Solanum lycopersicum: one gene and its partners. The main gene of each other region encodes a partner of the protein of the gene in region 3 in a complex. Links are inferred from orthologs where the notes say so. Each region holds a gene or a part of one and is shown on either strand. Other genes may lie near its edges.

Region 1 (8,500 bases), on a different chromosome or scaffold from region 3:
ATTCCTTCATCTATATGCAATTTGACATTCCTCATGTTCCTGCAGTTGTCGAGAAACAACTTGAAAGGAAAAATTCTGCAATGTTTGGCTAATATCACTACTCTCCAGTTTGTGACACTGTCACATAATAATCTCAGTGGAGAGCTCCCTTTATCTATTTGCGATTTAACATCACTACAAGTTCTAGATTTAAGTGGAAATGATCTGAATGGAGCGATCCCGCAATGTTTTGGCAACTTCAGTGGTCATCTTGAGGTTCTTGATATGCAGCACAACAATCTTTCTGGGACTCTTCCAATGACTTTCAGAACTGGAACACTTAGAAGCTTCAACTTACATGGCAATAAACTAAAGGGGAAAATTCCTCAATCTTTGGCCAATTGCAAAGAGTTGCAAGTTCTTGATTTAGGAGATAACGACCTCAATGACATCTTCCCCATGTGGTTGGGAACTCTTCCTAAGTTGAGAGTTTTAAGCTTGAGATCGAATAAGTTGCATGGACCCATTAGAACTTTAGGAAGTGAAAACATGTTTCTTGAGCTTCAAATATTGGATGTCTCTTCCAATGACTTCACAGAAAACATACCTACGGGTTTGTTTCAACATTTGAAAGCCATGAAGACAATTGATCCATCAAAGAAGGCACCAAGTGATGGATATTACCAAGACACAGTAGCTGTCGTAACAAAGGGATTTGAGCGTGAAATTGTGAGTATCTTGTATTTGTACACTGTTATTGACCTTTCAAGTAATAAATTTGGAGGGCAAATTCCAAGTATCATGGGGGATCTCATTGCAGTTCATACATTGAATTTATCACATAATGGATTCCAAGGTCAAATACCACCATCATTCGGAGATTTATCTTCAGTTGAATCATTGGACCTATCAGGAAACCAGCTTTCGGGAGAGATACCACAACAACTGGCTTCTCTTACGTCTCTTTCATTCTTAAACCTCTCCCATAATCATCTCCGAGGATGCATTCCTCAAGGACCTCAATTTCACACTTTTGAGAGCAACTCATATGAAGAAAATGATGGATTACGTGGATTCCCTGTTTCAAAAAGTTGCAGCGATGCTGGGGTATTAGATACAAATGAAACCGTATCTGGAAGCAATTCTGAATTTCAGAGTGATTTCTGGAAAGGTGCTCTTATGGGGTATGGAAGTGGACTATGTATCGGATTATCCATAATATATTTCATGTTGTCAACTGGAAAACCGATATGGCTTGCAAGAATCATTCTAGAGATGGAGCACAAAATTATGAGAGGAAGGAAGAAGAAGCATCAAAGGCAAAGGAATTACAGAAGAAGAAACAATCATTTCTAAGTTTTGATTTCAGGTAACTAAAATATTTTGATTACAGCGAGGATCTAGTGTCTATGGAAGTGGATAAAGGGAAGAAGAAGTTGTGTTTCAAAAAGTTGCAGCGAAGGCAAAGGAATTGCAGAAGAAGAAATAATCACTAATGATACTACTGTTGTTTCTTCAGGGAAAAGATGGATTAAGTTAGATGTATTATCGTTATTTTAATCCTGTTTGCATAAAGTGTGTAGCAATATTTGGCCATGAAAATTGAGGTTGAGATGATCTTTAATGACAAGTTATATGCAATAGAAAATCTTATGCCAGCTACAATTAGTTCACTGAATTCCAAAATAATAAACCACAAAAAACAAGAACCTATCGAGGAAGGGACGAGAGATATTTGTTATTTTGTTCTCTGTCTTCCAAAAGATGCATTGGTGGTGAATTGCCTTTCAGTTTGCACATTAATCCTTTTGTGATTAAAAAAACATTATGAACATAAAATCACCAAAAAGATGAGGTGAAGAAACGAGAAAATGCATTGCTCTATTGTACAACAGAGGAGAGGTTAAAGGAAGTTTGAACATTGAGCAGGTCTATAAACAGTGGAAATCTTAAAGCAGCCACACTGAGAAAGCTCTAGAAAGATTTGATTGTAAACACGGAGTGGTCACCTCTTCAGTGGCTTGTAGAGAACAACTGTGACATATTTGGACTGGAATCTATGCGTTAAACCAAGAGCAACAACGGATTGAGAAGCCCATCCTTTCTCTATAAAGAGGTGATTAAGTACTACGTGCTGGGGTTTTGGAGAAGAAGGTGCTTCTTCTGAGTTTTCAGAACCAAGAACAGTTAGATGAAGTTGCGGTGGAACTGCCACTGGCTCCTTTTCAAAATCCTCCTCTCCCATCAAAGCTTGCGCATAGCTAGAGTCAGGTGATGGTGGGGCCTCAAACTCTGCAACACTTTCGAGGTTCTCTGGAACATTGTCCTGTATGAAGGACGTGTTATGAGCCAAACACATTATCAGGGAACAGCAAGTATATAGACTATAAAACACATGTTTATGCATTAATGTGCTGAAGTTATCAAAGATGCCTCCGCTGTGATAATGTATCAAAATGATCAGGAAACAGAACTCTCACTTACATTAACATCAAGAAGATTAAAGACAACGCCTGTCTCATCTGCTACACATGGAAGTTCTGGAATATATCTAACTTCCCCATCCACAATGAATTTGTAATGATATATACCCGATGGAAGGACCAAAAGAACGGTATAGTCCTTGCCTGATCTTTGGAGAATTTTCCTGCAAGCAAATATCATTAGTGGATACATTCAGAAACTCCATTAACAGGAATGATCACAGGCTAGTACTTGGTTGAATCAGAGTATACCTTGATGTCCAGTTGTCCCAAGATCCTTGGATAGCAACGTTATTACCACCATAACTCCATGTTATCAAAGTAGGTATGCCGCCCTCTAGTGAATGATCAGAGGCATCCTCGCATTCATTGCCCCACATTTGATTGCTAACAGGATTGCCATCCCCTCCTTGTAAAGGAACTACTGGCACCTGAAAGGATGATAAAGAGGAGTTTAGTCTCGAAACTAGTCAGTCGTAAGTATTTATGAGGTACGATTGGGGTGCCCAAGAAGCAATTAACTGCTCTGGTCTATCTCCAAGTTAACTAAAAATAAGAGGTGCTTGCTTGGGTAATTGCCAACCTCAGAGGGACATTATTCCCTTCTGTCCACTTTGAAAAGCCTAAATTTTGAGTGATAGTGCTGACTACAAAACATGAAGAATATTCATCATATATAAGGTGGAAAAAAAATCAGCCAAAGTGAATAAGAGTGAATTATTCAGAGCTGAAAAACTGTCACTTGACTACAGATTGACTAAGGTTTCACCAGTCCTACTAAGATTACAGCATAACATTTCTGCACCCGCCACCTGCTCCCGGATGCACTAGGTTCTTATACAGAAACATTATAGCTTGCTTGACTGGCATAAGTTCCTTTTGTTTTTTCATGTACCTTGCTAATATAAATTAGTTGTCTGTTTTACCCAACAAATAGACAGGCCATGAGATGCTTTCCCTTTTCCCATTTAACAGAGGGCTAGGCCAACACTCAGGCAAGCCCTATAATGCAAGCTTCCAACTAAACAGAAAGAAGAGTTCATTCAGCATTTTCCTGAAGGAAATTCACATAGGAATAGCATGAAAACCTAATAGAAGTGGAATGAAAATAGAGGATTCATATTACCGATCTGGGATCAGGATGTTGTAATGGTTGTTCCTATAGGTGTTTCAATTTAGTGTCAAGCAGAACACTTCATCGCTACTACATTGGGAAAACACAACAAATCACAGTTAAGCATATAATGAACAGCACTACAATCAATTTGCAACTCTCCCCTATAGATGCAGACACATCACCGCAACTCAAAGGCATACAGACAGGCAGTATAACATGCAGAGTAATTGCATAGGGTGTGGGTGTATCCACCACCTTAGCTGACCATCATACGATTAAACCATTTAAAAATGATTACTTCTTCCATCCTAATATGTTTGGCACATTTTCTAAAGAAGAGTCAACGAGACCAACTTTTGCAGTAAATCAGGCTAGATCAACTCATTTTTTGTAATTAAAATTTAGACATTTGGAAACAAAACAGAAAGTACTATAAGTTGTGATTCTCATCATATCAATATGGTAAGAAGTGCACTTAAATAAAAAGAAATCATAGATGTTTTGAAGGGCAAATGATTCATCTTTTCTCAAGTATATACCCCATGGCGAGCAAACTTTATATGTGGAAAAGACAGAACACTGTAAATGGCACAGACCCTACACTGCATTCGCTCATCATTTGCTAGATTACTTAAATACTTAAATGGAGACAAGTCCATTCTTTTGTGTTTTCTGGTACTTGTAAAGATATGATACTTAGTTTAAATCAACCCAAAAAACCTAGCTCACCCAAGTCCATATAAGCAGACCATCCGTTCATTATACAACCAAAGTGGAACTCTAACCACCCCTTCACGAACAGGTCCAACTGTAGTGTGGGCAAGGAGCTTGAATGCGCATGGATCCAACTCTATACCATGTAAAGTTATGACATTTGAGTATAACTCAACCCCCAAAACTAGCTCACTAAGAGAGGATTGCTCAAATTCATATAAACAAAGCCAATACCCAGCTCGGATACCAAGTAAAATATACGATACTAATGCCTAATTCATCCCAAAAAGCTAGCTCATTAAGCATTGCCAGTCCCTCCCCTCTCCAACTAACATAGGACTCTAACAGTACACTAATATTGATCAAAACCCTGTCCTTCCTTTAAAAAATACATTTTTAAGACAAAATTCTTAGTTTGAATCTCCAAAAAGGTAAAAAAAGTTTACATATTGAACAAATGAACTATATCTAAAGCTCAAATTAGACCTCATTTGAGCTCTACTCCACACCAAATCCTAAATCCCCTTTGAATCACCAACACCACAAACAAACACATACACATATACTATTTCATATGTATATATAATAAATAGGATAAAATGAGCATAAAAATGGAAACCTGAGGTCCGAACAAGAGAGGTGAAGCTGAACGATGTGGACTCTGCGGAGGAGAATTGACCATCAAGTCAGCCGAAGGCACTCGCGAGTTCAGAGCGTGGTGATCTTCTACTATTCCAGATTCAACATTAGATCTTCTTCCCGATACCTGACCGTCGCCGTCGCCGTCTCCGGCGGCGCCGTCTTCTCTGGCGTTCGCATTCCCCATGTCTTCCCAATAATGCTAGTGAATATACATATGTATATTTTGTATGTATATGTAGAGAGAGAAAGTAATAAGAGTCACGTTCTCGTGTTTATATATATACAGTAAAAGATAAGGCACACTATTGAACTTATTTACAATAATGCCCTCAGTTGACTTTTTTCTTCCTTCTACTTTCGCTTAAAAACACCTCGACTAATCTATAAAATAATACAAAAAATGCAATGAAATATATGTCAATCTTATTCTTATTTCTTAAGAAATAAAAATGAATTGTTTCAAAAAGACTCTTCATTGGAGGGCAGATAATTTACAAAATAATGCAACAAATATATTGAAATATACGTAAATCTTATTTTTACTTATTACGAAATAAAAAAAATATTTTAAATACTCTTGATCGAAGAGCGAGTGGAAAAGGGTAGAAATGGAAAGTGAAAAAATATAAAAGGAAAACTTAGAGGATAAATATTGATGACATGGAGAGATCAAAATGGTTGATAAAGGATAAGTACAAAATGGAAGGTGTAGATTTACTAAATTTTATAAATGTGCATATATTATCTTCTTTAGGTGTGTGCCCACGTTGCTTTGGGAGCACAATGATAGTGATAGCCTCCAAGTATTATTATTATCAACAATTAATAATAAAGAAAATAGGACAAAATTATTTTTTTGAACTTTTAATATCATCAAATGAAAAAGAAAAGTTAATGTGGAGAATAAAATATGAAATTCCGATTTGACTATATATTAATAATTTATTCAATGTGATTTCATGAGTTGAGTAAAAAGAATATAGACTGTATGCAAACGTTACGCTCATCTAGTAGAAATAAAGACCATAGATCTTGGGTGACAACAACTGTATATCAGCCAAAATTTGTGATATACATGCTAAAGATACATGACACCAGGTTGAACAATGGGGCCTTAAGAGAACAATTTTCTATTTTTTTGGCATATCATAAGTTCAACAAAACTCTACTTCAGAAGTAGAAAAAACCATGACTACAAGAAAGCATTGCTAACCAACAAGATTTATGGTCTATTACTGTTTTGAGTTGGTAGCATTTCTAACAGAGTTCCAAATTTGGACAACCGATTCTGCAACACGAGGGAGCACTTGAAGAAGGCCACCAGAGGCCATCCCGATGGCGAGGGTTTGAGGGTAGCCTGGCTTGGAATCAACTTTCATGTCAAGGCTGAGCAGTCGAGCATTGATAACATCGAGTTTTCTAGAGGTTTCAGATGACACATTCCTATTATTATTGCGATTCTTGTCATTTCGAGAGGTGCTGATCACCCTGAAAAGAGCACCCTGGAGATCCTCAATGACCTTATAGGAAGCTTCTTGAGAGTCAACGCCTTGTGATTCATAGTGTGATACAAGCTCTCTCGCGCTTGGCAACTTTCTTGTCACCTTCTTTTTGCTGCTCTCATTATTGTTGGTGGATGCCGTAGTATCAGTCTCTTTTATCTCCTCCTTCTCATTTCGAATTGGTTGTGATGGTTTTGCCATTACCTTTTTGCTTTTTCCCTCGGTTTCTCTCTGATTTCCACTGTTTCAGATTAAGCCTGAGCAACAGGAAGAAAGAAAATTAAATAGAAAGTGGCACAATCAAATTAGCTAATTGAAGCATGCATTGAACTTAATGAATCAGCCAAAACAAATATTTGACAACAACTCTGTAGGAAGCAATGCAAGATAAGAATGAATCATATATAAGAGCGTAAAGTCTAGCATATTTTTAATATTTATACTAAAATTAACCAGTAATCAAGTGAATACATGAATATATTGTTCAGAAATTCGCAACGGCAAACAGAGAACAAATTGCAGATATCAGTAATGTCATGGATTAATATAGCAGGACAGAGCATGAGAAAATGTAAAAAACATTCACAAAGTAAGAGCATAAGCCAAGTGAACAAAGGAAAGAGACCCCTTTTTTCTTTCTCAAAATACAAGAAGAAATCAAAAGCAAATTTCGTATATTGAATCGCGAGAAGATCCTTCAAGTGAAAAGATAATGCATGACAGATAAGAGATAACACCACCAGCTCGTCTGAGACAGGTAATTGATAAAGTGAATTCAAATAAGCCATTTTCACCAGTAGCTACTATACAGTTTTGAATCAGAGCAAACTCTATCCCCCTCAAACAACTCATACTTCAAGAGAATGACCCTCTTTATTTCACCCTCTAATGTACATGCATGAATAAATTGTTCAGAAATACTTAAATAAACCACCTGCAAGTGTTATTTCCAGTAAACCAGTCAATAAAGTCATGAGATCATAAGATGTCACTGATCATAAGGCGCAACATCTCAAAGCTATTTTCCACTTAACTAATTGAAAATGAAGCCACACACTTAACAAATGAAAAAGGAAGGCACATATGGAGTGGGAACAGTGCTGAAATTGAATTTGATCATTTACAAACGCTGAAAGAAATTCATCTAAGTGTGGTCATCTTGCAGGTGCAACATGAAATATTCAAAATTAATGTTTTGATCTTAATTTTCAAAATAGCTACAGAGAACACCATATTGAAGATAATAAGCATTTTCATACTGCATTGATAATATTACTATTCTACTCAATACTCCCTCTAGACCATTTTCCTCCAATAGGAACATAGAACTACCAGAGCGGTTTCCCTGAAACAAAACAAGCCTATGTTGTATCAAAACTATAGGAAAAAAAAGCTTCCTTTGCTCGTATAGTAGCAAATTAAGGTTGAATCCATGAAATTTGAGCCACTAAAGAGGTGAGCAAACTTATGCTTATTGGACAGGTAATTGAAGAAAGTTAATCTGCATCAAATCACAATATGAGACGGAAGTTAATTTGTTTCGACTCACAAGGAACCAACACAAAACATTAATGTAGGACTGGCATATATTATCTGCGCCACAACTGAAAAGGTCACATAAAGATAAGATTTCATTGCTAGAATTGAAACTAGTATAGATAAACCTCAAAAGACATGAGCTTGCAACAAGTGAAAGACATTGAATTGCATATCTACTCATTACGTATTAAAAGGAATGCAAACGAGAAAACAAGAAAATACACAAAGACGTATCAGTCAATCAACCAACTATGTCTCAATCCCAACCTAGTTGAAGTCAACTATAAAAATCCTCTATTACATTTTGCTCTATCAGGTCCATTTCACTCTCAATGTAGTGCCTACCTAAGTTTACAACACTAATTTTGCTGCTTTTACTCGAGCATTGTATGATTATGCCTCACTCATCATCTCCAACTTCAAATACAATGTAAGTGATGACAATTCTTGCCACAACCACAAAGTTGCTACATTATCGACCTAAAAATCCCATGTTCAAGAAGTAAAAATCCCATCTTTTTAGA
Region 2 (8,181 bases), on a different chromosome or scaffold from region 3:
GGAAGAAAATGACCGAGTTCAATGATCGGCTTTAATTTAAGATGACCAACTTCAAGGTTTCAACAGTATTATCAAAAGCAAAAAAGCTCCGAGGTCTGTTGAGGCTTTAATGCAAAAGGTGCAAAGGGAGAAAAATACAAATATATATATATATATATATATATATATACATATATATAGGTGTAGTCCAAGACTAACAATCATAAATATGAATGACAAACATACGGACAAAGAAATTGAAAAAATAGAACAAATAAATTGTTTGGTGTTGCTTCTTCGGAAGAGGCTTATTGGCAAGGAAAATTATGTCTTAGAGCCTTGATGATGATGATAAAGCACACATTAAGCGAGGAGAAGTGCTCAACACAATTCTGAGTCTCGCCTTCAATGCATAAGCGCGCCTTTGACAATTTCAAGCATTTCTTTTCTACTGTAGAAGTTTGTCATAAATATCTACAACAAGATCCTAATCCTCAGTGTTATCCAAGGCACGCTTAAACCCTGAAATGAGGCACAAATCATGTCGAGCACTTCGCGTCGCTTAATGTGCACTACAGTGTTGTCATCAAGGTTCTATGGCATAATTTTCCTCGCTAATGAACCTCTTCTGAAGAGACGACATAAACAGTTGATATTGTAATTATTTTTCAATTTCTTTGTATATATATTTGTCATTCATGCTTATAAATTATTAGTCTTGGACTAAACATATAATATTTGTTTGTTTTTTCTCCTTTGGCACCTTTTTGCATTAAAGCTCACGTTTTATTTGCGTTTTTTGCTTTTGATAGCACTGCTATCCTATACGTAGAATCTGAAGAAGACATTTACCTAGGGTGAAACATTCATGCAAGATCTACAGAGCTATTCTCCGGAACATGTCAAACCGAAATGAGCAACAAATTGTTGCAGCTAGGAACTTGTACAGAAGCTTCTTCAATGTATATTCAAGAGAGAGATAAAAAAGAGTTTCACAGGACACCATACAAGATCAACACTTGTTACTAAAATAAGAATAACGGTGCACACTATACCCTTTGTCCTTAAAATACTAGAACAAGTTCCTTCAAGCTAACACGCACTTATCCACCAACTATGCTGCACCGGACTCGCACTCTCCTCCCTTAAAATTCAATGTAGGAAATTCCCCTCAAACATAATCAAACTCATTCTTCCCAACTAGATACCTCAACCTATCCAAAATCAAAGTATCATCGATCGAAGAACTTCCAACTCTGCCTTCAAAAAGAAGGCTTTCAAACATGGTCAACAAACTTAACACGTCCCCCCACATTCTAAACTTAGATATTGTAACTTTAACTTTATTCTGAAGATGGAAACACATGAGCTTTAATAGCACTCTCAATTCTAGAAGTAGAAAAAGGAAGAGAAATCCTTGTGTAAAAGGTAAGCCCCGCTTTCAAGCTATAATTCACATAAGAAATCCTCCTCCAGCTCCAAAAATACTAGCAGTAACAGTTCTCCAAGGGGTGAAAAAGAAGAAAATTTTTGGATGTTGTTACAGACGGGAGGCCGCACAGCCAGACAGTTTTTCAGGAAAATATAGAGAGAAAAGAAGATTGAACTCGAGATTTTTCAAGGAGGATTCAAAAGATTGAGTTTCTTCTAAACCTTCTTCCCTTAATCTTGTGCTACGAACATGATGACTCTTAACTTTTCTATGATAGTTTTTACACCATAGATTTCTCATAGTTGAGTTCTGATGAAACCTATGATTTGATTAGCGATTAATCCATGTGTGGTTATAAAACCACAAAGGGCCTCAATTCCATGTACTAAGAATAGCTGTCTGCTTTTACTTGTCCAGTTCAGAAAACCAAGATATAATTTATCACTTAGTTCCTAATTTACGCTTATTACTAACTAGTCATTTTCCAAAATATAAATTTATTATATTCAAAAGGTGATATAGTAAATTGTCATTCTATGTATTGCACCTTATAGGGTGTGTCAAGTCAATACTGAACAAGTAAAAACGGATGGAGGGTGTAAACTGTCTACCAAAAGTTTCAATTACGAAATGACCACAAGTACCTAACTTATTTGACTCTATCTGGCCTCTAATATTCTCAAATATAGAAGAATGACTCTATACTAGTAATGTATGAAAACAAAGTTGAAAACATTAACTGATCCATCTTGACTTAATGATCAGCCGATGACCCCATTATGGCATATACCATACACAAAAAATGAGACGCTAAAAAGGGTAAATTTAAAAATAACAAGGCCTATATATAGATGGAACACGTACACAATTCCATACTCTTACCCCTACTTCCATAAATGCTTGCACTCCACACCACATTCCAACTGGTTACCTTAATAAAAAAATCCAAAACATGCAGCAATTCAAACTTCGTCAATATCGCATATATTCTCAGATTATTAAAATACAAGTGAAAGAATCTAGCTTGGGATTGAGTAGTAGTTGTTATATTGTTTAAACTGCCCCAAGAATACAGCCAAAGATAAGAGCAGGTCTTCGAATGTGACAACTCAACTAACAGTTTTTAATAACTGATGTCAAATAGTTAGAATTATCCATCCGCGAGTTTGTCCTAGCAAATTCAAAAGCCTTAGCTATTGGTTTAGCCTTTCCACTCCACCAATCCTCTCTTCTAACTCATTTCCATCAGCCAAAAGCAATTACAACTACGCTTCAATCCCAAACAAATTATGTCAGCTTACTCAAATTGCTAGTCACAAATCCAGATAAAGGAGGAGTTTGTGGTAGGTAGACCACCGTTTCAAAACTAGTTAATTTACAATGAAACAAAACACTGAACTATTCCACAAATTCTTCGTTTTGTTAATGTCGTTCCAAGAGCAAGGTTGCACAGAAGTCTAACTGAAAGTTGATAGATAATAGTTCTCATCAGTAGGAGGTTGTATGCATCGGCACCAACACACACATATATAATTAAATTTAACTAAAATGATTAATCTAACTTCAAAAGCTTCCTCGAGGACCAACTATGTTTATCTTAAATTCTTTTAAACATTGATGACAGCGGTGCTTATGATAATCACCACCAAATCCCTCTCTTAACTAATATTTGTAATCTACTATGCAAATTTTTAACTCCTTTCAACCTATTTCTATTGGGCTTCATCTTTAAGTATCCACACTTTTAAGCAAACATCCAGTATTGCACTCTTGTAAATACTCTTTTTATCTTTCCTGATAAGTAGTGCATTTTTCACTATCATACAAAGCAAGTGTACACTGTACACTCACAGCTCATTAGACGTGTATAGCTAATTTTACATGTAATTTAAGGGGAGAGCACAAACATGGAAACGCTGCTCAAATGCAGATGCTACGTAAACTGTTTCCTTCTCCATTAAGTGCTAATAATAACTTATCTACCATCCTAAACACCATGTGCTTTCCATGCTCAAGTGCAGATGCTACGTGAACTCTTTCCTTCCCTGTGATTAAGTGCAAAAAACTTATCTACCATGTAAATCACCAGGAGTTTTCCATGCTCAAGGGCAGATGATACGTAACTCTTTCCTTCTCCATGATTAAGTGCTAATAATTAATCTACGATGCAAAACACCACGTGGCTGCATGATTCAATTACATTTCTGTTTATCCCACTAGCTAATTGAGACACATTTATCGCTCCTAAAAGTTCTTCAAACAGGTGATTGACGAAGAACCAATAATTCCTACTTCTTCCAAGTGCAGGATAACTCCAGTAACACAAAACCCACCAAAAGTGGATAAAAGCTGCTTATCGGATACTACAGATTGTCAATTTGAAATTACAGATCTTTCTTGACCGAGGATTTTCTTTCTAAAATAAGAATCAACTACTTTGCCAACCTCTAAAAAATTTATTTAACATGTATCAATAATCTATCCAGAAGCAGCACCAACAACAACATACCCAGCATAATCCCACAAGTGGGGTTTAGGGAGGGTAGTGTGTATCCTAGTACCACGATCTACCTCCCCTCACCCAAAAAAGGAAACCCTAAATTGATCCAAAATCATTCACATGGGGAATCTACACAATCTGTACACATTGATCGCATGTGTGATTTTGATTCTACAATCATAAATTCGCAAACACAACAAGTAACTACAAAGACAAACATTCATAAACTAATCTAACGTCCACAAGCTACACTAACCTGATTCAACTTTTCTTTGGTTCTTCAATCACACACAAAGAATTCACCAGAATCAACAACCCATCTGCACAAAAAACAATGGAAACACAAGAAGTATCAAAACTTTAATCCATCAAACAAAAAAATCCAACCAGAACCACTAAACCTAAATCCCCAAATTGATCCACAAGACACAAAGCAGAAAAAAGATCAAGAATTCAGTAAAGATGATTTCTTTCAACACAAACTCTACAGAAACGGCAAAGCAGCACATAAAAATCAAAACTTTAACTCTACATAGACCAAAAAAAAATAACCCCAACAGCAAAAACAAAGAATTTCACCTGAAAAATGCCAGAAAAATCAAAACTTTATAAACAAAAATCAGATAAACCCAACAAGAACTACTAAACAAAAACACCCAAATTGATCCACAAGACACAGAGCAGAAAAAAAAAGATAAAGAATTTAGTAAAAATGATCTTTTTTATACACAAACTCTACAGAAACAGGCAAAGAAGCACATAAAAATCAAAACTTTAAGTTTACACAAAGCAAAAAAAAGTAATCCCAAGAACTAAAACCAATGAATTTCACCTGAAAATGCCAGAAAAACAAAAGGGGTTCTGAAACTCAAAAGCTAAAAAAAAAAAAAACCACACTCTTTACAGGTTATATAGAGTATCTCACCTAGAAGATTCCGCCTTGGAATCAAAAGAATCAAAATTACAAAATCACAAAAATTGTATTTTAGGAAAAAACATAATTCTCTAAAGAAATAAAACTTTTGCCAAAAAAAGAAAAATAGGAACATAAAGATTAAACAATTGGGCTTAAGCAAAAAGAGCAAATGGGCCAAGTTATAAAATATCCTAATTAAGAGCATGACAAATTAAGTAAATAAAGGAAATGAGAAAATTACGCGGATAAATATATATATATATATACTAGTTAATTAGCTATTATAGTTATAATTTAAATTAATTATAACTCGCAGACTCTGTTTTAGCTATAATTATGTGTGCCTCTCTCCTATCTTCCTCCCTCTTCTCTCTTCTCTCTTATATATATACAAATTATACATATACATATACAATAATATGATAGATATACAAATACAATTTGTTTTCTTTCATTCTTTGTCCTCTGTTTCTAGTCTCTCCTCTCTCTTCCAGTCTAACTTGTAAAGATATACAAATACATATGTATATCAGTTACATATATAATTATATAATCAATATACATGTATAAGTCAGCAAATATATAATTATAATCCACCTCTCTCTAATCTCTGCCCTCTTCGGCTCACCTCTCTCATCCCTCTCTTCGCTCGTTTCTCCGCCTCTAACATGTAGCTAAGAATCGTAATTAGCAAACGATAGCTATAAAGCCTAATGAAGTTGTTTTTACTGCTATTTGCAAAACTTTTCCTAAATGAAATGCTACAAAAGTTATGTACAATAGGATTAGTGTTGGAAAAGTGTGTATATATGGGGGTTGAAAATTCAATTCGTTTTTGTTCAAATTATTTTAACTCGTCCATACTCAACTCAAGCTATTCATTTACCGCCACAAAATATAATATTGAATTATGAAATAGCTTTGGACCATATATACTTATAAATCAAAACAAAAAGAAAGAATCATTTGAATATTGAACTTGAACTTTAAATTAACAAAGAAGAAAACTCACATTTACTTACTTTGTAATGACTTTAGAGGTGTCACTTTCAAAGTTAATTTTAATAAAGTCTAATTTTAGATAAACATATTTGAACGTTTTAAGAAAATATAATTTCAAATATAGTGTTTGAAATTCATCTTAACTTCAAATATCATTTGGCTTAAAGTTTTTCGAATTGAGTAGACTTGACAACTTTTACTCGTTCCTAATATGATTCAAATAGTGATTTCGAAATCAAGTATATGTGATTGCATAATATTACTTTTTTTCTTATTTATATCAAAGTTTTGACACAATTTTATATCAAAGATACAATTTAGACTGTTACTATTAAATACACATGGCCTTAATTAATACAAGCAATCAATGCAATAATGTGATTAATTAGTGAAATTTACACTATTGATTAATTTTTGATACGACATTACAGGATTTAGAACGCAAATAACAATTACATAGATAACTGATAGTACTATGATAACTTTTGGATACATTACATCATGATACATTTTCGATACATGATGCATCATGCATGAAATCATTTTGGGATTCGAGGGATTTGTACGTGAAATCTTACCATTTTTGCATTTATATGGGCATTTAAGATTCATTTTATAGGAATTATGCGATTTTCTCAGTTTTCATGTGTTTTAGGTCATAAATATTTTGATGATATGGCTTAAGACAATTTTTTACAAATTTTTACGGAGACCTTCATAGGGAGTTGGGAAAGAAGTTCGTAAAGTCTCACTATTTTTTACACATACTTTGGGTATTTAGGGATCATTTACAAAAAAATAGGCAATTTTCTAGAATTTGCATGCATGTTATTTATTATTTTGCAAAACCTTTACAGAAATCTCTGTAGGGAGTTGAGAAAACAATATATGAAGTCTCACCATTTTTTGCACATATTTTAGGCATTCAGGATCCGTTGTACAAGAATTAGGTGATTTTCTCAGTTTTTCGTATGTGTAGCCCATGAAATTTTTGATGAAATAGCTTCCGAACGATTTTCTTGCAAAGTCTTTATGAAATCCTTCATATGGAGTTTGGAGAGCAGTACTTGAAGTCTCGCCATTTTTTCATATTCGAACATTTATGAGTCATTTTAAAGGAATTAAGCGATTTTTTCAATTTGTGTGTGCGTTTTAATCAATATATATTTTGGTGATACGACTTTTATATGACTTTTTTTTTTTTGCAAAAGCTTTATGGAACCTCCGTAGGGAGTCGAAGGACCCGTACGAGAAGTCTCACCGTTGTTGCACATATTTTGGGCATTTAGGATCCATTTTACATGAATTAGACAATTTACTTAGTTTTTCCTAAATGTTAGTCCATAAATTTTGGTGATATGATTTTTTAACAATTTTTTTGTAAAACCTTTACAAAACTCTCAATAGGGAGTACGAGGAGCAAACATGAAGCTTCGCCATTTTTTCACATATTTTAGATATTTAAGATTCATTTTTACAAAATAACATAATTTCTTAGTCTTAAAGTGTTATAGCCCATAAATATTCTGGTGATATTATTTTCAGACGATTTTTTAATGCAAAACTTTTACAAAACTCTCATACGGGTTCAACGAGCAATACGTGAAATATTGTGCAAAATGGCTCTTAAATGTCCAAAATATATCATAAAAGGTTAGGCTTCATATATTGCTCCCCTAACACCATACAAACGTTTTGAAAAATGTTATGCAAAAAAATTATTTGAAAGTCATATCACAAAAATATTCATGGGCTAACACACAAAAACTAAAAAAAGAATTTCCTAATTCTCATAAAATGGAACCCAAGTGTCCAAAATCTGTGCAAAGGTTTGTGAGACTTCATGTATTTCTCCTTCTAGTCCCTATTAAAGAGTTTCATAAAGGTTCCGTAAAAATTGTCTGAAAGTCATATAATTAAAATATTTATAGACTAACACGCATAATAAATAAAAAAAGTACCTAATTTTCGTAAAATGGCTCGTAAATGCCCAAAATATGTAAAAAAAATGGTGAGGCTTCACAAATTGCTCCCCCCAATTCCCTACGTGGAGATTCAATAAAGGTTTTCAAAATATTGTGTGAAATTCATATCACCACACACATGAAAATCGGAGAAAATTGTCTAAATCCTGTAAAATGATCCTAAATAACTAAAATATGTGCCAAAAATGGTTACGTTAAATAATTCACATACCTCTTTTATATTTTATGGACGACTTTCATCCAACAATAGTTATGATACACTTACCGTTAATTAAAATTTTTACTTGATATAGATAACCACAAAAGTGTGAATTTAGGAAAATCTTTTATTTGAACTTGAAAAAAAAATTAAAAGTAAATCGTTTTA
Region 3 (8,465 bases):
CCTTTCATAAGAAGATAATATGACAAACATAGTTCTTTTGTTAGTTAGATCTTGTATTTTGCTTATCGAGTAGTAGGTGATAGGTTTGTTGCCTTTCCTTTATGATGTCTTAATTCCGCTATCCCCCCCCCCCCCCCCTCCTATTTTTGTGCAACTTATGTTGAAAACTTAAACATGGTAGGGGTCAAACGAAACTCCCACACCTAATAGCTTTAAGTTGTGATGGTGATGCTTAAATTTAAGCATAATACATAGATATATAGATATGCTCTTTAACTTAATCTCATTTCACATTTATACCCTTCAACTTTAGGTATACACAAGTTGACACTTAAACTTGAATAAAATTAAACAAACAGACACAAACGCCCTACATGACATCCTATATAAAAATTTGTATCCTATGTAATTTCCTACGTATATTGTTACACGTAGGACTCGTATGTCTATTTGTTCAACTTTATATAAGTTTAAGTACCTATTTGCGCTCAGTCAAAATTGGAGGGCATACATATATATATAAAATGAGATTAACTTAAAAGATATATTCAAGTATTATACCTTAAATTTAAGAAGAAGAAAAGAAGAGGCAACATCTTTTGTAACAAAATACGGGACTTAGAGGTGGTCAAAATTTATTAAAGAGCGAGCAAAGTACAACCTCTGAGGGCGAGCTATGCTCGTACCCTTGTAGATCAAACTAGGTATGAAATGGTAAATCCTAAATCCTCTTTACAACAACCTCGAACAAGCCGGGGAAACAGAAAAAAGGGAACTCAAGAAACTAGCAAGCGATAGAGCTACATAGATTGACATAAAAGGATGATTATGCAGATGTTGAACTGGTAAAAAGAGACTATTTCATAAATATTATGGTAAAACCTGGTGCGGATTCTTTTTACTGCATCTTCTAGTCGCCCGTAACCAGCTTATTGACCAACAGTAACATATCAGTTCCTGAGCATTTCTTGTGCAGAAAATCCAAAATAGTTATCGAAGAAGTTCGATGGTTCATAGATGAAGCAGGAAATGACATCTCTGAGTGTGATCACACCAACAACTTCATCGCCATCCTCAGCTGTCACATAGATCCTGTGAACTAACTTGGACGCGAGAGTGTCTATCACAGTACAAAGAGTTGAACCGAGCTTGCATGTTATTGGCGTAGCTGCCTTTGTGGCATCATGGGTTGCCGAAGCAACTGTGTTCATGAAACCCGCAACTGTCAGCTGCCTGTTATTCGAACGAGCAAAATTTAGTACATACACACAAAAAAAAAAGAGGTGAACATCTCTGAGCCTAATGATAAAAGTCAGAATCGCTTTTCCATTTAATCATTGTTCGATTTTCTTGCACAACTTCAACCATAAGAAAGTTTCCCAAGAATTGAAACTCTTATTATTTATCGTAGAAGTAATCAAATAGTAATGGTGGGGTCGAGGGTGAGTCTTCCGACACGGCTGGACGTCTGTGGTTCTAGACAAAGGGGGTTATCACAACATCCTTTCCCGATAGACTTGAGGTTCTTCATAGACAAGTGGATAGAAGATCTTCTCTCGAAAAGAGAGAGAGACCAAAGATTATAGAGGAAGGTATTCGACTAAAAAAATTAATACGGCAGCTCATTATCAGCAAAGAACTAACAATTTATATGAACACATACCTGAAATTGGAGAATAGTTCAGGTTTGAGTAACAAGAATCTGATGTCTCTTATGCTTACATTGCCAACTATCTTCTTCTTTGATCCTTCAACAACCGGCAGACCTCCGATATTATTATCTCTCATTTTCTTGAATGCTTCCAGAATCAGTTCATCGTCTCGGACACTAATAACCTGGCATACACATTGAAAGACAAGACTTCCAGTCACCAACTTTTGTATTATTAAAATTAAAAAATACATAGTATTCAGATGTAACAAATGACAGACCTCGTCAGCGGACATGTATGGGAGGCCAAGTTCTGATATAGGGTGAGCGGAGATGCAGTCAAACCAATCCCTCCCTTTGCATCCTACAAGACCCCGTACCACGGCTGATTGAGTTATAAAGTTCTTAAGGTATGGACTTCCTCTTTCTATCACAGGTACATTCCGCAGCCTATATTTTGATAACAGCAGCAACACACTCAACATAGAACTGTCCATTGCTACTGGAACAAATGGTGCCCATCGATAGGATTTTATGATGGAGCTCACCTGCGAATGTAATTACTTGACCTTGTCATGTGTATTCATGTCAAATTCTCTGAATATATCTGTAATAGCGCTTTGATATGATCATTATTTTTCATGTTAAAGAGTACTAAAGACGCGAAGCAGCTGCAAATAATTTAGACATAAGCACCCTAAATAAGAAGGGTAAAGTCTCTCTTAATCAATCAATTCAATCCTTTAGAAGGCATGCCCACCTTTGTTGACTTAAAGGGTTCTTCTTGAAGGATAACCTTGTAGAAATCCTCACCCAAGTTATTGGCCGCAGTTGGAGCATCCTTTCCCGCTCCTCGATCTGCAGCCACTCCACCTGCCACAGCTGCACCGACTGCAGCAACCGTTAGACCAGCAACTGCAGCAGGACCTGTTGCACCTAATGCCAGTGCTCCAAGAGCACCAGCGGTACCTGCTCCAACTCCGGCTGCTGCTGCCGAACTTGCTGATATGGCAGCTGCTGCTGTTTCCGCACCCTCCAGCACCCAAAGAACAATAGCGGAGTAATCAAGGACACCTAAGTACCTTTCTCTCCAATCCAAACTATTCTTAGCCACTGGATTCTTCACAGGAACTGAGAGGATGTTCGATTCTGAAAGAATTTTGACAGCATCGCCTATAGAAGTCTCGGCGTCTATTTCAATTACTGGAATGAGGTATACGTAGCCGTTTAGGATACAACATTGGATATCAAAAACATAATCACGAGAAAACTTGTATATTTTATATACCTTTTCCTCCAGGGACTTGAGGGAAGGATGAAACTGGAATATTTGCAAATGCATCAGTCAAAGTTTCCTGCAAATTACGGGGCAATTTCTTTCTTTTCTGGGCCTTTTCAAAATAAGCATCATAACTTGCAAGTTTCGACGTATTTTCCGTAATTTTTGCTTGTGCCATTTACTTCAATATACACAGAGAAGGGGACCTGGCTCTAAGAATATATTCCTGAGAAGCACCATGACAACAATCAGATCCATAAACTTTAAAGAAGATAGTGATAGTCGGTAGAATCTCTGACCATCAAATTGAGTTAATAACTTTGATGGTCACTCAACTATCAATTCTTTTCATAGAAAGTCACTCAACTTTCATTTTAAACTCAAAAGTCACTTAACTATGACTTCTTTGCACAAAAAATCACTCAAGCTATTTTATTATTTTTTTCTTTAAATTTGCTGACATAGAATTTTAATTATTAACCAAAAATTTAAGAACTAAATATATATCCATTTAAACCATTTAATTACTTGCCTCATTTAACCTTTCATTTTGTGCTTTTCTGTTCTATGAAAAATTCGCAGTAGCAGTTGTAGTAGTAAATTGAGTATGAGAAAAATAGGGGATTTGAAAAAAAATCTAAGAAATTTGAAAGCGAATGGGATATGGTGGGACTTGCGAGAACGGAGTTTGAATAAAACATTTCTATATCCAGTTGGTGTGTCACTAGCAAACCTCGACTATTAAATGTGCCCCAATGCAAAATTTGTGATAATGTGCATGTATTCAATAACCACTAAATTGACAAATTTAGAAAGAAAAAAAAAACAAGAGAAGAACGTAAAGGGAAAGGATGGGGAGACAAAGGGAGAATCATCAGGGAATTAATGGCAAAATAAAAAGTTCAGTATTATATTTCAGTGGCTCCGGGTAAATCGGGTGGGTCATTAAATGGTTTAAATGGATATATATTTGGTTCTTAAATTTTTAGTTAATAATTAAAATTTCATGTCAGCAAATTTTAAACAATAAATAATTTGAGTGACTTTCTGTGCAAAGAAGTCATAGTTAAGTGACTTTTTGAATTGAAAATGAAAGTCGAGTAACTTTCTATGACAAGAATTGATAGGAAAACATCATTGCTACAAACTTATGCCTACACTCGATTGAAGGATTCAGTGACTCATTAGTTCTTATTACAAATGTCTGTAACTTTGTATTTCCACTTAAGAATAATAATGAAAGATTGAAACTAATGGTAACAATAAAATCTCTTTCTGCTCAGTACCATCTCAAAAATAAGCATCATAATAACTCTGTAATTATGTTTATATTGTGAATAGGGTATCAGAAACTCTGTTCCTGAGAAGCTCCTCCCCCCAGCAAAAGTCGGAACAAAATCATAAATAGGACAGTTGCAACAATTTATGCAGAGTTTAATCAGAGTACGTTGATCAACACATTACTTGCTTAATTAGCTATGTATAGATTTGAAAGCCGCGCTAAACGCAACCACAATGAGTAAGTGAGAGTTACACTAGAGAAGAATTTTATTGGACTGTCCTTGCAAAAAGCCATAGGGGAAGAACATATGTCGAAGAGGTTCAAAATTTGAAAACTTGAACACACGAACTAGCACAAAGAATTCGACATCTAATATACATGCTTTCATGAAAAATAATTATAACCAGGTAGTATAATATTGGGCTAAAACAGTCCAAAAAGATGGTGTGATGCTGTCCAAACATAATGTAATCATAGGCGAAGCTAGAATTTGTACAACATGGATACACTTAAAAAAAAAAACATGTATTAAGTGAGAACTAAACACAAGTAAATAACTAAACAATCCAACCAATTGCACTATTTAGCCTTCGGATAGGTGTCAATACAAAAAATATTTACATAAAATATCTAATTTTACGTGCCCCTTTTTAGCCTGTAAACTCCTCCCTCAGTGTGATATTAGTTTTCCCCAAAACAGCTCAAAACATTTAAGAGTATTTATCACCTTTTCTACTTCCCAATCAAGAGTATTCAATTCCGTATATCAATTTCTCAAAATATTGGACCAAAACCAAACCTAATCAAATTTTTTTTAAAAAAGATCTCTTTTCACATTCAATTACCTAATTATGAACATTCTAATCAATTGCTAAACCCACACACTAATAAGATATAGTAATAATAATAATGATAATAGATAGTGTAAAATTGAAGAAAAAAAATATATGTATATATATAGGTACCTGTGAGGCTGCTGTGCAGAGGTTTTAATTTTTGTGCTTGATAGAGAGTGAGATGTGTAATTTGGGTGTAAATCTTTTGTTAGTGATGATGAGATGACAAGTTAGTTACTACTCTTGTTTTTGCCATCTGTTATGCTTACCCGCCACGTGTTACTTCATCCATGTATTATAACCCACCACCACACCACCAACCATCTCATAACAAATTTTCGTTTTCGAGAGTTTTTCGATCTGAATATATATTTGAATATTAATTTTTAGATAACAAAATATTTTGATTTAATTATTAAATAATAAAATGATATATTGTAATTTGTAATATTATGAATTTTAGGTATGATCATATAAATATATCTCAAAATATATGAATCGAAATTGGGTGTAATGTGTGCAGACATACTATATATCCAAGTAGATTCGCATGTATATATCTGAGATACGTAACAAATCTTCAATATATAAAAATACATGTATTTAGTTTGTATCTTGTGCGATTTACATTATTCACGGATTATATAACAAATCTTACTTGTCTCTCTTAATATTTTGGTGTACCTAATAGCAAAAACACATATTTATGTGTATTTTCCTTAATGTATGATAGAAATTTTTTAATTATTGATAAGATATGTAATATTTTTAAAGTATAAATAATAATAATGTAAATGGTAATAGAACCTTGTTTTTATTTTTTCACGATTTAGTCCCTCTGATCCGTTCAAAAATAGTTATTTGCTATATAAAAAATAGTTATTCGATAATATTTATCTAATCTTAAAAATTAAGAAACGATTTACCTTTTGTGTCTAGTTTACCCTTCCTATTAAATAATAAGGAATCATTTGATGTGACAAATAAAATGAATTAATTCTTGGATAACTTTTGAGCGACATTTTTCATTGTTTGGTTGCAAAGGTAGGAATATCTTATCCTAAGATTAACAATTAGTTTTAGGATAAGTTATGGTGGTACAGTGATTCCCTGGATAAGGCGTGTAAATCAACAAGAATACTCTCTCTTAAACTCTCTTTTGAACATCACTTTTACATTCATACATATTAATATAATTTTCAACAATATTTATAATAAGATTGACAACTTCAATTATTTGTTGTTTTTATGATAAATATATTTTTCTATTAAAAATTTACATTTTACAAATACAAATTTTATTTATGAATGCATTATAAGTTGAATTCATTTGCCTAATTTTTATGTTTATTTATATTTTGATTATTCTTAAAATGTTTACTCTACTACTAAATTACGTATCTTTTAGGGATAATGTACAAGTACCCCTTCAACCTATACCCGAAATCTAAGAGACACATTTATACTATATTAAGGTCCTATTACTCCTCCTGAACTTATTTTATTAATAATTTACTATCCTTTTCGTTCTACGTGACACTATTTTGTGAGCCTATTGTTGGTTGACTTTTTTTAAAAGATAGTGGCATGTAGGCTGAAAAGGGGTAGAAAATTACTTATAAAATATGTTCACGGGTAATAGAACCTTAGTATAGTATAAGTGTGTTTCTGGGATTTCGGGCATAGGTTGAGGGGGTACTTGTACATTTTCTCTATTTTTTATAAATATCAAAATTATATTTTATCAATAATTAAAATCTAGATAATGTAGATAACTCTAATTTTTAACTAAATAAGATGACAGTTTTATTTTTAAGCTAAATAAGATAAAAAATTTATTTTTAAGCTAAATAAGATGAACATTTTATTTTTAAGCTAAATAAAATAAACGTTTTATTTTTAAGTTAAATAAGATGAAAGTTTAATTTTTAAAAATATACACTGCATAATCATGAAAATGCACACACAAAAATATTTAAGCTAGTTAAGATGGTAATTTTATTTTTAAGAATGAATAACAAAGGCTTAAAGAAAATGTAATAAATAAATAAAAATTAAATAAGGTGAGTGTATACGACTTATTCTTACAATTATACAATGAATATTAGTTTGAATATGACAAATCAAACAAGCAATAAAATCTAATTTCAACATAACTTATCCAGTATAACGTATCTCAACATAACTAATCCTAGCATAACTTATATTCATAACAAAATTTGTTATGTCCTAATTTAATAATTTAAATTCAAGTTCAGAAAGAATTTTGTGAATTTTGGGTGGTCAACAAAATTCATATGTTATTTCGAAAATAGAAATTAAAAGATCTATTATTTGTATTCACTGCCCAATCAAATGATGGATGAAACGGTTAGGATTCAAAAAATTGGCCAGATTTTTACTCTTGAAAATTATCGTTGCGGTCATCGATAATGAAAACATGAAACACGGCACCAACTCCTCCTAAACTTGAGTTCTTTGATATGTCAAAGGTTTAGGACTTAATAATATTGATGGTAAGAAGGACGGAGTGAGTTGGGTTGATTGATGGACTTTTGATGTTTGAAAGGAAGATGAAAATGGTGCAAAAAAGATTGATCAATGGCAGAAAATTAAAGTATATTATAGATTTGTAACTTTACCTTTCAATATTAAAACTTGAAATTTCTTAACTACACATTTCATTACAATAAGTTTAAAGTCGTCACAAATAAAACTTGTAATTCTTTTCTTCAATGGCAAAAAAGTTTCATCAAACAAATGTCATGAAAAAAAAAGAAGAAGAAAGGGACCGGAAAGAGAAGAAAAAAATATAAAAGGAAAATAGAATAAAGAAAAGGGATAATGCACAAGTACCCTCTCAATCTATGTTCGAGATCTTAGAGACACACTTATACTATACTAAGGTCCTATTACCCTCCTGAACTTTTTTTATAAGTAATTTTCTATCCTTTTTCGGCCTGCGTGGCACTAACTTGAAAAAATGTCAACCGTTGTTGGGCCCACAAGATAGTGTCTCGTAGGTCGAAAAGGGGTAGAAAATTATTAATAAAATAAGTTCAGGGGGGTAATGGACCTTAGTATAGTATAAGTGTGTCTCCGAGATTTCAGGCATAGGTTAAGGAGGTACTTGTGCATTATCTCTAAAGAAAAAGATAAGAATTTTTTTTATTAAAAAAAAGAAAGGTATATATATATATATATATATATATATATATATAAGGAGACTATATATTCCATTTTAAAAATGTATTTGGGGGGTGTTAATAGGACCTCCGTAAAGTATAAGTGGGTAGTTGAAAATTCGAAGGTTAAGGGGCATTTGACTATTTTCTCTATTTGAAATAAGCTATGAAATATTTTGTGATCCTAAATTATTTTAGGCATAATATATATATTGGATCTTACACTTGACTT

Evidence for each region.
Region 1: SNF1-related protein kinase regulatory subunit gamma-1-like (region 3) and GAL83 share a complex: the UniProt entries of both Arabidopsis thaliana proteins name them as parts of the probable heterotrimeric complex. The link is inferred for Solanum lycopersicum from reciprocal best matches to the Arabidopsis thaliana genes AT1G69800 and AKINBETA1.
Region 2: SNF1-related protein kinase regulatory subunit gamma-1-like (region 3) and SNF1-related protein kinase regulatory subunit beta-3 share a complex: the UniProt entries of both Arabidopsis thaliana proteins name them as parts of the probable heterotrimeric complex. The link is inferred for Solanum lycopersicum from reciprocal best matches to the Arabidopsis thaliana genes AT1G69800 and AT2G28060.

What each region holds. Positions count from the first base shown.
Region 1 is NC_090811.1:69,118,123-69,126,622, reverse strand, and holds GAL83 (SNF1 kinase complex anchoring protein), read right to left. Parts: upstream 5,140-8,500; 5' UTR 5,120-5,139; coding exon 4,913-5,119; intron 2,894-4,912; coding exon 2,715-2,893; intron 2,627-2,714; coding exon 2,464-2,626; intron 2,306-2,463; coding exon 1,985-2,305; 3' UTR 1,765-1,984; downstream 1-1,764. Other genes in the region: receptor-like protein Cf-9, read left to right, coding at 1-1,335; uncharacterized protein, read right to left, coding at 6,168-6,638. UniProt on the Arabidopsis thaliana protein: Regulatory subunit of the probable trimeric SNF1-related protein kinase (SnRK) complex, which may play a role in a signal transduction cascade regulating gene expression and carbohydrate metabolism in higher plants.
Region 2 is NC_090810.1:59,796,192-59,804,372, forward strand, and holds the start of SNF1-related protein kinase regulatory subunit beta-3, read right to left. Parts: upstream 4,977-8,181; 5' UTR 4,837-4,976; exon of another isoform or gene 4,744-4,836; intron 4,511-4,743; exon of another isoform or gene 4,495-4,510; intron 4,235-4,494; exon of another isoform or gene 4,232-4,234; 5' UTR 4,168-4,231; intron 2,343-4,167; 5' UTR 2,330-2,342; coding exon 2,276-2,329; intron 1-2,275. UniProt on the Arabidopsis thaliana protein: Regulatory subunit of the probable trimeric SNF1-related protein kinase (SnRK) complex, which may play a role in a signal transduction cascade regulating gene expression and carbohydrate metabolism in higher plants.
Region 3 is NC_090800.1:6,171,228-6,179,692, forward strand, and holds SNF1-related protein kinase regulatory subunit gamma-1-like, read right to left. Parts: upstream 5,312-8,465; 5' UTR 5,178-5,311; intron 3,157-5,177; 5' UTR 3,109-3,156; coding exon 2,940-3,108; intron 2,855-2,939; coding exon 2,412-2,854; intron 2,200-2,411; coding exon 1,933-2,199; intron 1,837-1,932; coding exon 1,664-1,836; intron 1,234-1,663; coding exon 951-1,233; 3' UTR 598-950; downstream 1-597. UniProt on the Arabidopsis thaliana protein: Regulatory subunit of the probable trimeric SNF1-related protein kinase (SnRK) complex, which may play a role in a signal transduction cascade regulating gene expression and carbohydrate metabolism in higher plants.